Styela clava: one gene and its partner. The protein of the gene in region 2 interacts with the protein of the main gene of each other region in a biochemical or structural test. Links are inferred from orthologs where the notes say so. Each region holds a gene or a part of one and is shown on either strand. Other genes may lie near its edges.

Region 1 (7,196 bases), on a different chromosome or scaffold from region 2:
TAGTTTCAACGGAAAACGCGAAAATACATATATGGATGTAGTAACTGCAGTCCCATGAAATTGTTACTGTACGACTACAGGGCGTGCATGAGGCGGTGTACGGGCGGGGACTTAATATTAAATATAAAAAAGTGTGGAACTCAACTATTATAGATAAGAGAAGTTCCTGATTTAAAGTATGCTCAATAGTATAGATAGCATTGGATTCACATATTTATCCCCGGGGAGAGGAAAGCCGTTAATTAAGACGACTCAATCATCTGATGAGCCACGATCTCTCGTCCTGTTATCAGTCTATGTTGTGTATGGGATTAGTTAGCCAGTTATTTTTTGTTTTTAGATGCATGGATTTTATGGCGGAGGAAGCCGTAATCAAGGTTTCAAGATTCGTATGCGCTGCAAGTTTTTAGACAATAACCAAATTTAGCATTACCCAAATCTTACAATATTACCATCCCAACCTCGAGTAGAAATGATTGGTTGAAGTGATTTCCTGAGTCCGAATCTGTTTTTGAGTTGACTAGTTGTAGTGTCGTGTTTGGACTTGGGTCGTGTTCAAAAATGAAACCCGCTATATACCATAACATGATTTGGTCCTTCTCAATTTAGTTCAACATGTTTTGGCTAGGTATTGACATGTTACTACGTAACCCAGGTTTGAATTTTATTTTATTTGAAATCGACAACGCGGAACGTTTCACCCATGATCACATTTGTGATGTCTTCAACGTGCGGAATACATAAGGCTACGTGTAGCGAATATCAGGCAAAAATTGAAGTATAAACGCAAGTCTCGGACGCTGTCCCGATGCAACAACGTTTCTAAATGACAATATATGTTACAAATAAACATTTGCTGTTTCAAAATGGCATTTTTGATACAGTATTTTCTTATGCACGATAAAACATCACTCTTCCTCATATACTGATCATAAATTTATAAATAATTGCGTTATATTTCCTACATTTCACTGTTATGACACACTAAAACCTTTTATCCATAAATATGTACATTCTACACTTAATATCGGTGGAATTGAATAGTTTATATTTGAGGTAAAAACGATAATTCGCTCTAAGACTTCTTTACAAACAAGATGGAATATGAACGATGTTCATTTTGATTCCAATTTCTCATTTGCTTCACTTGACTCGGCCTCCAAATTTAAGAAACAAACGACCAGTTTAAAATTCAGGACATGACAGTGTTTTGTTTTTTCAATAATTGCGGTACAGTAGAATTTACCAAGTTTTTACCCAAAAATATATATCATCTTCTGTAATTTATTTTATGTTCCCCCAGAATCATCGGTTTTAGTTTTCATAAAACAAAATTAGATAGAAGGAGATATTTTTATTTCACTAACAAATATGATCAGAAGTTCAAATCCTCGAATACGATCAAAAGTCAAATGTTCATATTACGGTAAGAATGGCAATATCCAGGCAAAAAGGTATAAATAAGAACGAATTTGACGTAATAAAAAAGTTGGTCGTTATATGGCGCTGTTGTACTGATTGTTCAAGACAAACGGGAGCAATAACATTTGTTGAGTCAATGACATAAAAATGATACTGTAATATTTCATTTTTACTTATGTAAATGAATGATTATTTGTCACCACCTTACAAAAAATTATCCTATTTGCTTTGCACTGATAAACGAACAAAGTGGTATACTACTTTAGAAATGACCTATAAATGCAACTTTATCTAACACATTTTGTTAACTAAAAATGGAAGTCTCCTGATGAAGCATTGAGCAACGCCATGACTCACAAATTATACAAGAAGCAAATATATATGGAAGGTTTTAAAACGTGTGATGAGTATATAAACTTTATTGCCTGCTGCTCATTTGAACAGTTAACAAAATATAAATAATTGATTATCTTAATCTTCACTGGCAAGCAACGTTGTCTAGTTATATATTCAGCTGGAAATGATAATACAATTTTTTAAGTTGACGGTATGTAGTTATAATGTAGAGATGAGAATTTGATTTACTGTATATGGGCTTGTAGCATAAATAATAAAAACCAAGTTAGCCTCGTTATTTTATATACCCTCAGATAAATTGTTTTACTTGGGCCTTCGGTAAAGCCTTTGCTGAATTTTAAACTTATACCATGCTTATTATGATTTTTTTCCACGGAATTGAGATATCGCTAATATTTAAAAAAAAATGCGAGATTCAATAAATGAGTTTAAATTCAAGTCGGATTATTTGAAGGAAAGCGAGTAATAAATTGTAAGCAATGAAACAAGAATAATTCGACCGGTAGTTTTTTGTATTAGTTTTAGCTTGTAATATTTTACATGATATTCTTGCTAACGTGCGTCTGAATGGGCAGTAAAGCGGAAGCGCGTCATTACAGCAAATGCTATTATTAAGTAAAACAACTGACGGCCGAATCAAATATATGAAGACGATAGTTTTGATTTTAATTAATCATTACGATTTATTCATTAATTGAAAATTAATTTCTGTATACGAAGTCAAATTGTTAAAAAGATGGAGGAAACTTTATGAGGATATATCTTGAATATGTTTTGAAGCATTAGAGATAATAATTAATTAAATTTCACTCGTAACCTGTTTGCCCGATAAGCAATGATTATTTAAAATTGGGATTCTAAATATAACTTTTATATGTTGTCGGAAAAAGTAATCATTTCAATCAGATGACCCCTTGTATAAGACGAACAACGGTCTTCAACGCTTCTTTCTAGCAGTCCAGTTATGATATCATTAACCAGATAATTGTTTTCTATGCATGGGATCTGGATTAGATATCTTTGGATATAGATCGAGATATTCTTTCGCCTGATGACTAAATTTGTATACAATATTTCACTCAATATTTTCGCTACTGTAAGAGTTTACTTTTAACTTTTCCTATGAAAACAAATAAAATATTTTTATCGTAAAATTGAGTCAATTTGACAATTACCTTAAAGGAGTTGGTATATCTCTCAAATATCAGGCCATGGTCTTTTCGTCGATGTTCAAACCAGAACTGTTGAGAGAAAATTACTTTCTGATAGAATGCCCACGAAAGATAGAATTACCTAGCAATGATGACTTCCAAGTATACGGAAGTCAATTGCCCCAAGTCAAAATACATTAATATCCTCAGGGAGTTAAGATACGAAAACATTTTGAAATCGTATGAAAAATATTGTTAAACGAAGTTGAACTGTCTCTGATCAGTATAGGGAAGTCGAGAATTTAAATTCAGACATCTATACTAGAAAGTTTACTATTTTGTAGAGATTTGAATTTTTGGTAAACTTTACGAGCGCTTTGATAGTGCTAGATAGACGTAACCCGATTCGGTCTCTTGCATCGCGTTGTTTTTACCTGGAAGGCCCTCAAACCATTATACATTAAATGCAGACTGGAATTCAGATGCAGGTTAAAAATAAATATATTCAGTCAGGTCATGAGTGCAACTACTACTGTATATTATTTTTTAGCAGGATTAAAATGAGTGACGCATAGATTACTATATAATGAAAATATAGAAATAATATTTTTATGCGGAAACACACTTTTGTGCGATCAAAATTTGAAATTATTAATGAACATACGGATATGGAAGAGTCAGTGACTCAAAATATTCAGCAACACACGCAACTGAGCATTTATTTAGTAATTATGTCAAAATATATTCGACTGCCCTGATCATTTAGTGAAAATGTCTGTAGAAAGACAAGAAAATTTAAGGCAATATTGTCGATTTGCACATGCCCATTTTTCCTTTTTGTCAACTTTAGCAACCTTTTAGCGCGCAATCAATCTATCACAAAGTTCGTTCATCTGAAACGAAAAATTGATCTCTCACATTATTTTTGTGAAAATGATGGCGGTGATAAGTTGTGCAAATTTTTAAAATGTTGAAGTTTAGCATAGTAACGCACTATAATTACGAATTATGGCTATTGAGTCGATGTAACTCAGATATACAACAAACTGAATATTGGTTAATAATATTATTAATGTCACTCAAATTTGACGAGCTCGCTAATTCATTAGCAATTGTCAACCCAAGCTGAAAAATTAGTTGTTGTTCTCAGAATGTTGTTCGCTGATAATGAATGATAGCTATGATCTATGGTAAATTTTACCTTTTTCGCAAAATACGTGTTTCAAAGTAATAGTAAACATGCATAAAATCCAATTCAGTGAATATATTTTTATTTTGTTCGTTGTTGTCAAAGTTTAAAGTATTATTATTCAAAAATAAATTATGCGAAAACGACATGATTACTGGGAAACAGATTATCAACGCACAAGCTTCAAAATTTTACGACATCAATTATAAATGATACAAACTGTAGGTTGTAACTGAGTAGACTGCAAATGAACAAAAAGGAGGAATTATTGAATTGGCAAATTATTTGACTGCAGAAATGTCAATTATGTCAGTTTTATCACGGACATTGTTTTGTTTTGTCTTTGTAGGTGAGTCAATTTTTTTTTATTTTAAGCTAATGTGCCCAAACTCGCTGTTATCGGGTTAGGAAACAAAACGGTTTGTGTCGAAATGTCATATTTGTGTGTGAATATTTGAAGATGCGTATTACGTATTCCCAAGATAACAATCAATTATTCAATTTTGGAATAATATGATAGTATTCTCAACAGCGAGGCAATACTTATATACCACAAATAATTGAATAGTATTAATACTATTTAGCAACGAGCGCGGTCTATTCTGCTCTACTTGAATAAGCAAAAAAAATTCAGATTACTAACTAAAATGCAAACATACTTAAAACAAAAGAATCGTGCTCAAACATATGAACACAAAGGCCAAAACGATGTAGTAATAAATCTTTTACGGTACCGTTGGTCTGACCAACAGATCGCTGAGATATGATCACCGAACCGATGATTACCTTGCGCGGTTCGTATAGGTCCCAATGCCGTTTTAGAATGGTTCACTCAACCGCGGCTTCTTCTACCACCATAGTCCATACATATAAAACAAGTAACTAGCAAACTGTACCCATACTCAACCTAAAATGTATTGAGACGAGAGTACCCAGATAAATATAAAAATTTCATCCTCTTTGTCGATCACAATGACTACGTTTATAAGAAAGATACTCATACTACATTGCTCTGATTGATAAACTTAAACATTTGCTACAAGCTAATGTATTTTATAATGCTCTTTCTTTAAACTCCATACGCAAAAATGTTCTGTTTCTAACCTTTTTACATACTAAAAATAGAAATATCTGGAAAACACGCTATGATTAATAGAATATTCTTTAATCATTAATCATTAAAGTTTAATCATTTAATGTATAAGCAAATGAGATGTAGTTTATGTAGTATGCGTAGAAAAAATAACAAATACAATATGTGTTTATATACTGTAATAAAATTTGCAAATTTACTGACATCTGAAGATGATAGCACTGTGCGTACAACTGTACATAAACAAAATCGTGTTTATTCTCTCAGCCATTTGTTACCAAACTATATATACCAACATACCATTAATCTTTTGTGCTGTTTTCAGCAAGAACGAAACCTCACTTATACTATAAAACTTCATTCAATGTAAAAGTTTATAACTATAGCTCCGAGCAACTATGTTTCATACGGTTGTTATAATCACCAATCCACGACGAAGTTGAATAACTTTGCTGTTTATATAATGGACTAATTATTCATACAATCAAGACTGATCCGTACATATCGCGTAGATAAATTACACAACGTCATCCACTGTTTGTTTAAACAAGCTTGCCAAGTAAATGAGGAAGAGCGTTTCATTATGACATGCCCATGCATGGTTTATGATTAACAGAGTAGAGACAAATGTACAGTAAAATAGATCTTGACTGATTCATATTGTACATGACTGATTAAATGTTTAGATTAGGAGTAATTATGTAATTCTTGAACGTTACTTTTATTTACAGCGAGCCAAAGCGCTGAACATCTGATTGGAAGCCAGCACATGAAGCAGGTGAGCTTATATTTATTTACAATATTTACAAAGTTTTATTGCCATCATTAATCCCAGCGATATTGGTATAGGATATATTGGTTTGTATACATGACTTATAGAATAAAAGATAGGTGGGACAGCGCAAAATATCTAAAATAAAATGAGGTTAACGAACAGGGTTAAAGGTTAAATGTATCATAAAAGTTTTTCCATTTGCCATATAATTGAAATGAAACGGCAAAAGTATGGTTGAAATGGGTGAAAACCCGTAGGAAAACATAAAAGTGATAGCTTTCTAGCGACTTCTTTCATCTCTAAAGACTAAAAATTTTGAATCAGTTGGTTCTGTAGTCGCCGTGAGAAGTGGTTTTCAAAACAACAACAACAACGGATAACAACAACAATTTAGCAAATGATCCATATGTACATTTCTCCTCCGATAAACTATGATTCCATCCACAATAACCAAATTTTTAATTTTCTTTCAGTCACGATCTGGTGCACCAATGCAATTTAGAGATGGCGATATTATACTCGGCGCTGCAATGCAAGTCACGAATGAAAATGCCAATGGAGATTGTGTAGAAGAATTGACAGGAATGTATCTGGTAGAAACAATGAACATGATTATTGACGAGGTATGTGTTCTTTGTAAAAAAAATTACTCAATATTTGTTAAAAATCACGTTAAAAACCAGCTTAGAGGATAATCATCATAATTTATTTTGCCAGAAGATTTGGTTTTATTGAAAACGCTAAAAAACATTATTTTAGTCGAATGGTATTTTTTAAAATGCCGTCAGAATTCTAAATTGTAATTCTCATTACTAATATTTATATATTAGTATTTGTTCCGCCCTTTATTAATAGCATTTAAGACGGTATCTTGTAGTTTAAATTCTGTTTAACATACAGATTCACCTCTGTATAATACTCGGTGTTGTTTCAAAGACGTTTTCGAGCAAAGTTGCACGTCAAACGTTGCTTTTTTTCTGTACGTTTTTATACCGCTTCGTATACATAGAGCACATTTTGCAATTCAAATTTGAAACCGTTTGATTTTGACAACAATAGTTTCTGTATAATAATCCATCTTTTGACATCTTTTTTTTTCATTTTCAACCTGATTATTTTTATCGTGATATCAGCAGCGTGTTATCTCGAGTTTAACCTTGTTACACGCCTCAGAAGTGCGGTCGTGGTTCTTTGAAACGCCGTTTTGTC
Region 2 (7,608 bases):
AACTCTTCTAGTGTTGAAACGACGCTTCAATAACTCCATAAACTCTTTCAAAAATTCATTTGAAAAATGGTCATTGAAGGCACCTGGTTTCTCTGCAACCAGCAATAGTTGTCTTTGATGAGATTCTGACATGCAATGACATTTGAAACCATTCTGTCATGACAATATATCATGTTATTCAGAGTTTTGAGCTACTAGTTATGTTAGGATGGCATATTAGAATAGCTTATTAGTTAGAACTAACTCATTAGATGTAGGTTCAAAGTCTGATGTCATGGCAAAGCAAATAGAAAAAGTGGATAGAGAGATAATAGTATGAAAAGAATATATTTAAGACATATTTTTTGAAACCTACCTCATCTCTGCATTGCTTCTGGCACATTTGACAATACCATCGTAATTTTTGCAAACCTTTCGATTTAATGCGATTTGCGATAGCCTTGGGAGTTAAAAATCCACCTTTTTCTTTTCCCATTATAAATAATAGGTGCAGTATTAATTAGTAAGTTAATAAAATACTAAAAGAAAACAACATACAATTTACAGCATCTTATATCTTAATCAAGGACAAGTAATTGCACATAATCACCAACCATACAATACATGCACAATAAATGGGAAAACATAGAACTTAGCATGCAATTCATCGTTCAGCACAATTCATCTTCATTAGAATCATTACTATGTATCGGGATTTGATTTATATTGACAAAAACGATTAAAGCAGCCATGAATTTCAAGTATTATTCATTTAATATTTTGAAATTAATCATACAGAGTGAAACATCACACTGCGTTTGATGTATAAAATGAACATAATTCACCATTTGATTTAACAGTACTAGTTTAAATGAAATAACAAAATCTCTTCTTAAAGTATACATACCATTTGGCAACAAAATTTTAATCAGACACATTCAAAAAAATGAAAACTTCAGACAAAATGAGCACAATATTGAAGACACATTGTTTTACATTTCATAATTTATATATTCAATAAAAGAAAACTTCCAAAACTATCTTATGCAGTAAAATTCTACGCAAAGATAGCAGATGAAATAAAAAGCAAAAATTCACATTAAATGCACATGTAAATTGAAAAAGGTTATTGCTTCAATAGAATAAATAGTTTGAGGTCCAATCTATATGGATACGAAGAATTAGCAGACAAAACTACAAAACGGTCCTAATAAAAATTCTCAGATTTTACACAGGGAGTACTTCCTTTGTTTTTTTGATATTCCGGTCAAATTGACCTGTAATATGCACTAGAATTGTTGACAATTAACATCGTTTTCATTCTAAAGTCTCTTCATATTCCGGATCGTGGAATCGGTCTTTTTTATCATATTCGAACGTTGCACTCGACAAGTCAACTTCTACTGGAAATACATCAGCTTGTTTCATACTTGCTTGACAGTCATCATGATACTTTGAAATAGCAGCAACAAATCTTTGCAGCTGATGGACGATATCTTGTACATGTTTGTTGTCCAGTAATTCTAGCTTTTCCATAACATCTTTTCGAAGTTTGGCAAACCGCTCTCGAGCATCTTGGCGACATCGCAAAACTAAGCGATATTCATAATTTCCTGTTTCAACGCGATAAAGTGGTTCCTGTAATGCAGCATAACTATATTCCTCGTCATCCATTTCCTTCACCTTGAGACAAAACGACAAGTACTCAAATTTTGTGTCTGCATAGCGCCTGATTGTCATTTTCGTATCCGGAATAGCTTTGTTGAGATATGTATTCAAATCATTCAACATTGGTTTTAAAGTTGTCATCAAAGTGAAGCCAGACTTTTCAAAATTACGATGAGCTTCGCTAAACTTCCCGAAAGCCTCACCTCCGTTAAAGTTTGGATCACGTACACCAATCTCACCAAAAATATCTCCGAATGCACGGTGAGTTTTACACAAATTAAAATAAGATTTTAGAAGTTTCTTTATGTGAACAATGAGCCCAAGATATACTCCACCAATCTGTTCCATTTCCTGAAGTCTCTTAATCAAAACATCATTGCATAAAATTGCACGACTTAATCCAAGTGCATCTGCTGTACTTGAATCCATTTGTTCAACAATTCGGTGCTTTATCTTTTTCAGAACAATATCCAATGTTTTGCCTTGTTTAGGATCTGCATGTAGTTTATTAAAGTTGATTCGGACTTCACCCTTTATGCTTTGTATTGTTTTAGCCAACTGAACCTTTGATAGCCCTTTGACTGATTTGCTATTTACAGCAACAATTTCATCACCTGCAGCCAAAGATCCATCCTTTGCAGCTGGTGTATTATCGAATACTTGTACAATATAAAGACATGGACATAAGGGTGCACCTCCGCCAATGCTTATTCCAATCAAATTTTGCTTATCTTTCATGAGCTTGACTGTACCAGAAACAGTGGTCATTCCCATCTTATCCTCTTCTATTCCCCATTCTTCCATGGCGTGAGACATCTGGGCATTGAATAGACAAATTGGTAGTATGGATATCGGTCAGTATTTCGTTTACAACTGTTTTCTCAAATTCTAGAAATGAATAATTAGATAATTCAACAAAATCAAAAATCCTACCGCACTAATCGAAGGGCAGAAACCATAAGCAGTCACCACTGGCAGGCTGGGGATCTGAGTTTCAAATATTTTATTTTCTAAGCGAATATTTCCGAAACCGATTCTGTTTAGTATGGTACAAAATCACATTATCATTAACTTTTTTTAAATTTGGAAGAACTACCGTACAGTACAAATTGTGATTAAATAACAATAATGAACTTGAAGAATGAGTAAAGTTAGTAGAAGAAAACATTGAATTGACAGATTGATGCTTCAACTTCATAATATATTAGAGAATATTTATTTCTGTTACAAGGTGTAAACTCAGTTATATTTACGATACTTATTACTGTATTGCATAAATTTATGTTCGCAAACAATACTGCATTAGTACGTGATTTTAAAGAATGCAAATGATAACGAGTAGGCTAACCATCGCAGACCTACCGTACTATGTTTTTAAGGAGGAATAATTGGGATTAGCTAACACTTCAGCTGCACATCGAACGAATGACGTCAACAAAAGCCAGCTCCGTCAATCATGTTTAATCAACCATGACGACAGGAAATCATGCCCTCGTTCGGGAAAGGGCAGGATTTGCAATTTACATATTTATTCAGGGGGCAAGAAAGCCTATAATCATATGGCCACGGCTTCTCGTCCGGAAAACCGTAATCGACCAGCGGTTACGTAAACCACCCTACGTCGGCGTGGAGTCCAGAAATCTTCTCGCACAGCAGTACCTGAGGTCCAAGCACATATATTTGCAGTTATATAGATAGATAGTTTATTCGAATACTCCACAATATACACAAATTTAAAATGGAGAATTCTGGAGGGTGAGCGAAACATTTAAAAAAGTTCAAAACATGCGAAATATCATGTGCCCTCCCACCAGCACATACACAAAAATAAATTACAAAAAACACAAGCCTAGTTAAAACAAGGCTTAGGCCAGAAATAATCAAACAAAAGATACTCGAATGTATAGGAACTTCCGGGCTGTTATACTTTTGAAACACCTAATCTATTACAGTAATAATGGCCAATTCAATATGTACCGTAGCCTATATGTCAGCAATACGCTGTTAATTATTAAATGTTTATTTTGCCCCATCCCGTAGCAGCCGAATGTCATGTACGGTCGTTGAATGTTTGTATGTTGATCCCTTTAAAAAAACATTATCCGCAATACCTTTCCATAAATTTTCTTTATTCTCTTTACACCTTGTGAATGATCTGTTTCATACTGCAGCCGAACTTGATCATCAGTGACCGTCAACACCAATTTGTTCATCACACTGTGATTCACAGTGTTCCATTTCACGTCAAAAATCCAGTTGTTTCAGTCTGCCCAAGGTGTGCAGGATATTAATTGGAGGGTCTTGCCAATGTTATGTGTTCACTCACCTAATAATATGAATGCACCTGTCTGTGTGACTTCTAAAACGTTCACTGCTACGTCGGAGTGTAAACGGATTTTTCAAAAAATGCTAAAGATTTTCTTGATTCATTGGTTGAGCTTGGCTGGGATGATTTTCCAACTTTGTGCATTGCATAATGTGTATTACTCACAATTGGCTATACTCAATTGATAGTTGCACGCGATCTTTCTCAAAGTTCTGATAAAAATATATATATATATTCGAGGTATTCGATGTCAAGTTTATCTTTGATTAGTACCGAAATTCGAAAGAGTCTTTCATTCAGACATTTGTTGACAGCAAAGTAGCGATTGCACATAGAAATAAGTGACTTGCTTTTTGTTAATAAATGAGTTCGATTTTATACAGTGAGTTTTTTGCTTAGTTTGATGATTTGTTTAATAAAACGAACGTTTCTGTCTTACCTGACCTTCAATTTATTTATTCTCACGTGTAACGACGTCTATAATCTCTTTATACACCGAAACATTTTTTAAAAGTTAAGTAGGGAAAGGTGGGCCACCGTGGGGCAACCAGCTCTCACACTCTTATTATATTTGGAATCAGGTCTGCGGTTCGATGTTTGAATCAGCCCTTCGGTGAGTTACAACGTCCCCGCAAACGGACAACGGTAGTGTATAGCGACGCAAACTATGAGATGAGGTTGGTTTTGGGAGTTTGAAACTAAAATTTCACCATTTTAGTTTTGTCTTTTTTCTACTTTAGCCTTTCCAACATGACAAACAACCGTCTGATATTTTTCAGCTTTGTTACAATGTAAAATATTCATGACGTTGGCTAATGGATGAGCCGTCCTAATTTGCTTATGGAATTTTATGAAAGCATATATATATATGAAATATTTTGGTTGATCATTGACTTTTAAAAGTATTATCAGAAACTCGCCCCGGGCAGCAGAAAAGTTTGGCATGCTCATGTATGGAGGTAACTAATTTTGTTCGCCTACTTTACATCAAGTTGTGTAAAGGGATGGAAGCCTATGGGCAGGGTTCATTTCATTCAGTTGGCTTATAGCAACTAACCCCCAAATGTACCCCATTTCATGTTAAAAATATGAAAACAAAGTTAATTTTTCTCAAAATTCGAACCAAGACTTTCGTAGGAATCAAATTACACCAGTTTTAAGAACATAACAGGTTCCATCCAGTCATTATCAAATTAAAATCTATATTCTCAAGACCTTTGGCACTGATTGAAATAATTATATCTAAGTTCCCATCCGTACGATGTACCTAATTACCCTTGTTGAGATAATAGGAATTTCTGTTTATAACGTGAATCACGAGCTCACGTTTACAGCATTTAATTGGATTTATGATCAACGTATAAATACGACTCCGATATCTTTCGATAGGAGAGAGAAGACGATGTAAACCATTCTAAGCTAGTCTGGATAAATGTTATAAGATTTATATTCTGTGTATCGTGGAAATCTGAGAATAAAATCAAATAGAATCTACCCTATATACTATAAATGGTGACAAAACCGACTTGAATTAACCATCTGAAACGAACCAGATCAACGGATTTCAACCACAAGTACGGACAACAATCAGGACAGGCAACAATTTGACGGAATCAACCAAAAAGCTGACCAAGCGAAAGCTTTCAACAATTGCCGAGAAACCGTCTATACAAAACGTGCGAACTTACGAATGTCGGGGAGATTCAAATTGCCTGGAACAACAATTGAAGTATCAAATTGCTATCAAGCCAAAATAATCAAGAACATTATGAAACGACAATAAACTCAATTGAAAACTGTTAAACTATAGTGACGGACTCTGGAAACGTTAAAATTATGAATATGGACTGTATTGAACATCGATCGAAATGAACTCTTTTAGAACATGATATATGTTCGAGGTGAAAAACCTAATCAAAAAACGAACTGTTTAAAACAATGAACAATATATGGACTGTTTTACGGTAAATTACGCGCTCTATTCCGAACAATAGAGAAATTGTCGCGCGTACCCAATCGATATACAGATCAGGAGCATGTCATTCTACAATTTGTTTCATGATTTTCAGGTTTTTCTTCTCATTGAGACAGACATTTTTCATTCTTCCACTAATACTAAGGTAAAGTACCGTACTTCTTTTTCTTATATATACATGGCGTTTCATTCGACTTTTAATTTTTATAAATTAATTAATGGTAACAACTTTGAATATTCTGATTTCAAATACCTTTCAAAATATTTATATTATTGAAAATTTGCGGTTAGCATTCCTTTTTCGATTAATAGATTTCATTGGGATTAAAATGCTTTCTAAAAGTAGATTCGAGCGAGTCATACTTTTAATTATTTACAAAGCCGTCATATAGAACGGTTAAATAATAAGCTCGTTAAACAAAAATTGTATCCAAAAGCGTTATTTTTTCAAAAAAGCCCTGAGATGGCATAAACTTAAAAATGCGTTTTTTCTTCCCGACATGGGACAAGCATATATTGACCAACTAGGTCTACTAAATCGTAACAATGCGATAAAGCGAGTATAAGCATTTTAACTTAGCGAAATACATTGAATTGAAAATATGTTTTAACCGTCCAAACCAAAATTTTTCAAATATAAATACGCCATCTTTCTGTAATTCTACATTACAGCCTTTACTCTTTCTATAAACTCTTCTTTACTTCAATGTCTTGTCTCATTGTAGATCATATACATGTAAATATTTTTTTTGACCTATATCATTAATTTTAGCATTGTGTATTGTATTTTTCTATATATTTTCAATTTATTAGAGTTGCCAAATCTTGAAACTTCCAGTTAGTAAGATGGGGAGATAATATAGCAACTAACCCCCAAATGTACCCCATTTCATGTTAAAAATATGAAAACAAAGTTAATTTTTCTCAAAATTCGAACCAAGACTTTCGTAGGAATCAAATTACACCAGTTTTAAGAACATAACAGGTTCCATCCAGTCATTATCAAATTAAAATCTATATTCTCAAGACCTTTGGCACTGATTGAAATAATTATATCTAAGTTCCCATCCGTACGATGTACCTAATTACCCTTGTTGAGATAATAGGAATTTCTGTTTATAACGTGAATCACGAGCTCACGTTTACAGCATTTAATTGGATTTATGATCAACGTATAAATACGACTCCGATATCTTTCGATAGGAGAGAGAAGACGATGTAAACCATTCTAAGCTAGTCTGGATAAATGTTATAAGATTTATATTCTGTGTATCGTGGAAATCTGAGAATAAAATCAAACAGAATTTACCCATTATTTATGCTATAGGCTAACATAAACAGTCCCCGAACTCGTAATGGAACTAAAATAAGGAAAATCGGCATAAAATTATGGCCTAACCCTAATCTGGTACACATACTACGGTAGTACCGAACTCCAAATTTACCATAAATTCGTGAAGGAATTAGGCTACAGTTACATGTAAACAAACCAATATAAGAAAATAAATTCCCATAAGGCAAATGTTAATTTACCACAACTATTGCCTGTCTTTGTGCGACATAAACAGTTGGGAGTTCAGGTATGATTACTGGTTTGTGAATAATTATTCACTCTGAATCATTCGAATCTCAGTTTCAACGAGTCACATATACAGTTTAC

What was found. The genes of interacting proteins can lie anywhere in the genome.
Region 1: the proteins of PRKCA-binding protein-like (region 2) and metabotropic glutamate receptor 7-like form a complex in vitro, tested with the Homo sapiens proteins (2 studies listed by BioGRID, with this or other methods). The link is inferred for Styela clava from reciprocal best matches to the Homo sapiens genes PICK1 and GRM7.

What each region holds. Positions count from the first base shown.
Region 1 is NC_135259.1:13,246,280-13,253,475, forward strand, and holds the start of metabotropic glutamate receptor 7-like, read left to right. Parts: upstream 1-4,196; 5' UTR 4,197-4,416; coding exon 4,417-4,468; intron 4,469-5,943; coding exon 5,944-5,990; intron 5,991-6,460; coding exon 6,461-6,610; intron 6,611-7,196. UniProt on the Homo sapiens protein: G-protein coupled receptor activated by glutamate that regulates axon outgrowth through the MAPK-cAMP-PKA signaling pathway during neuronal development.
Region 2 is NC_135258.1:21,925,695-21,933,302, reverse strand, and holds PRKCA-binding protein-like, read right to left. Parts: upstream 2,944-7,608; 5' UTR 2,464-2,943; coding exon 1,297-2,463; 3' UTR 519-1,296; downstream 1-518. Other genes in the region: DNA/RNA-binding protein KIN17-like, read right to left, coding at 1-153, 356-475. UniProt on the Homo sapiens protein: Probable adapter protein that bind to and organize the subcellular localization of a variety of membrane proteins containing some PDZ recognition sequence.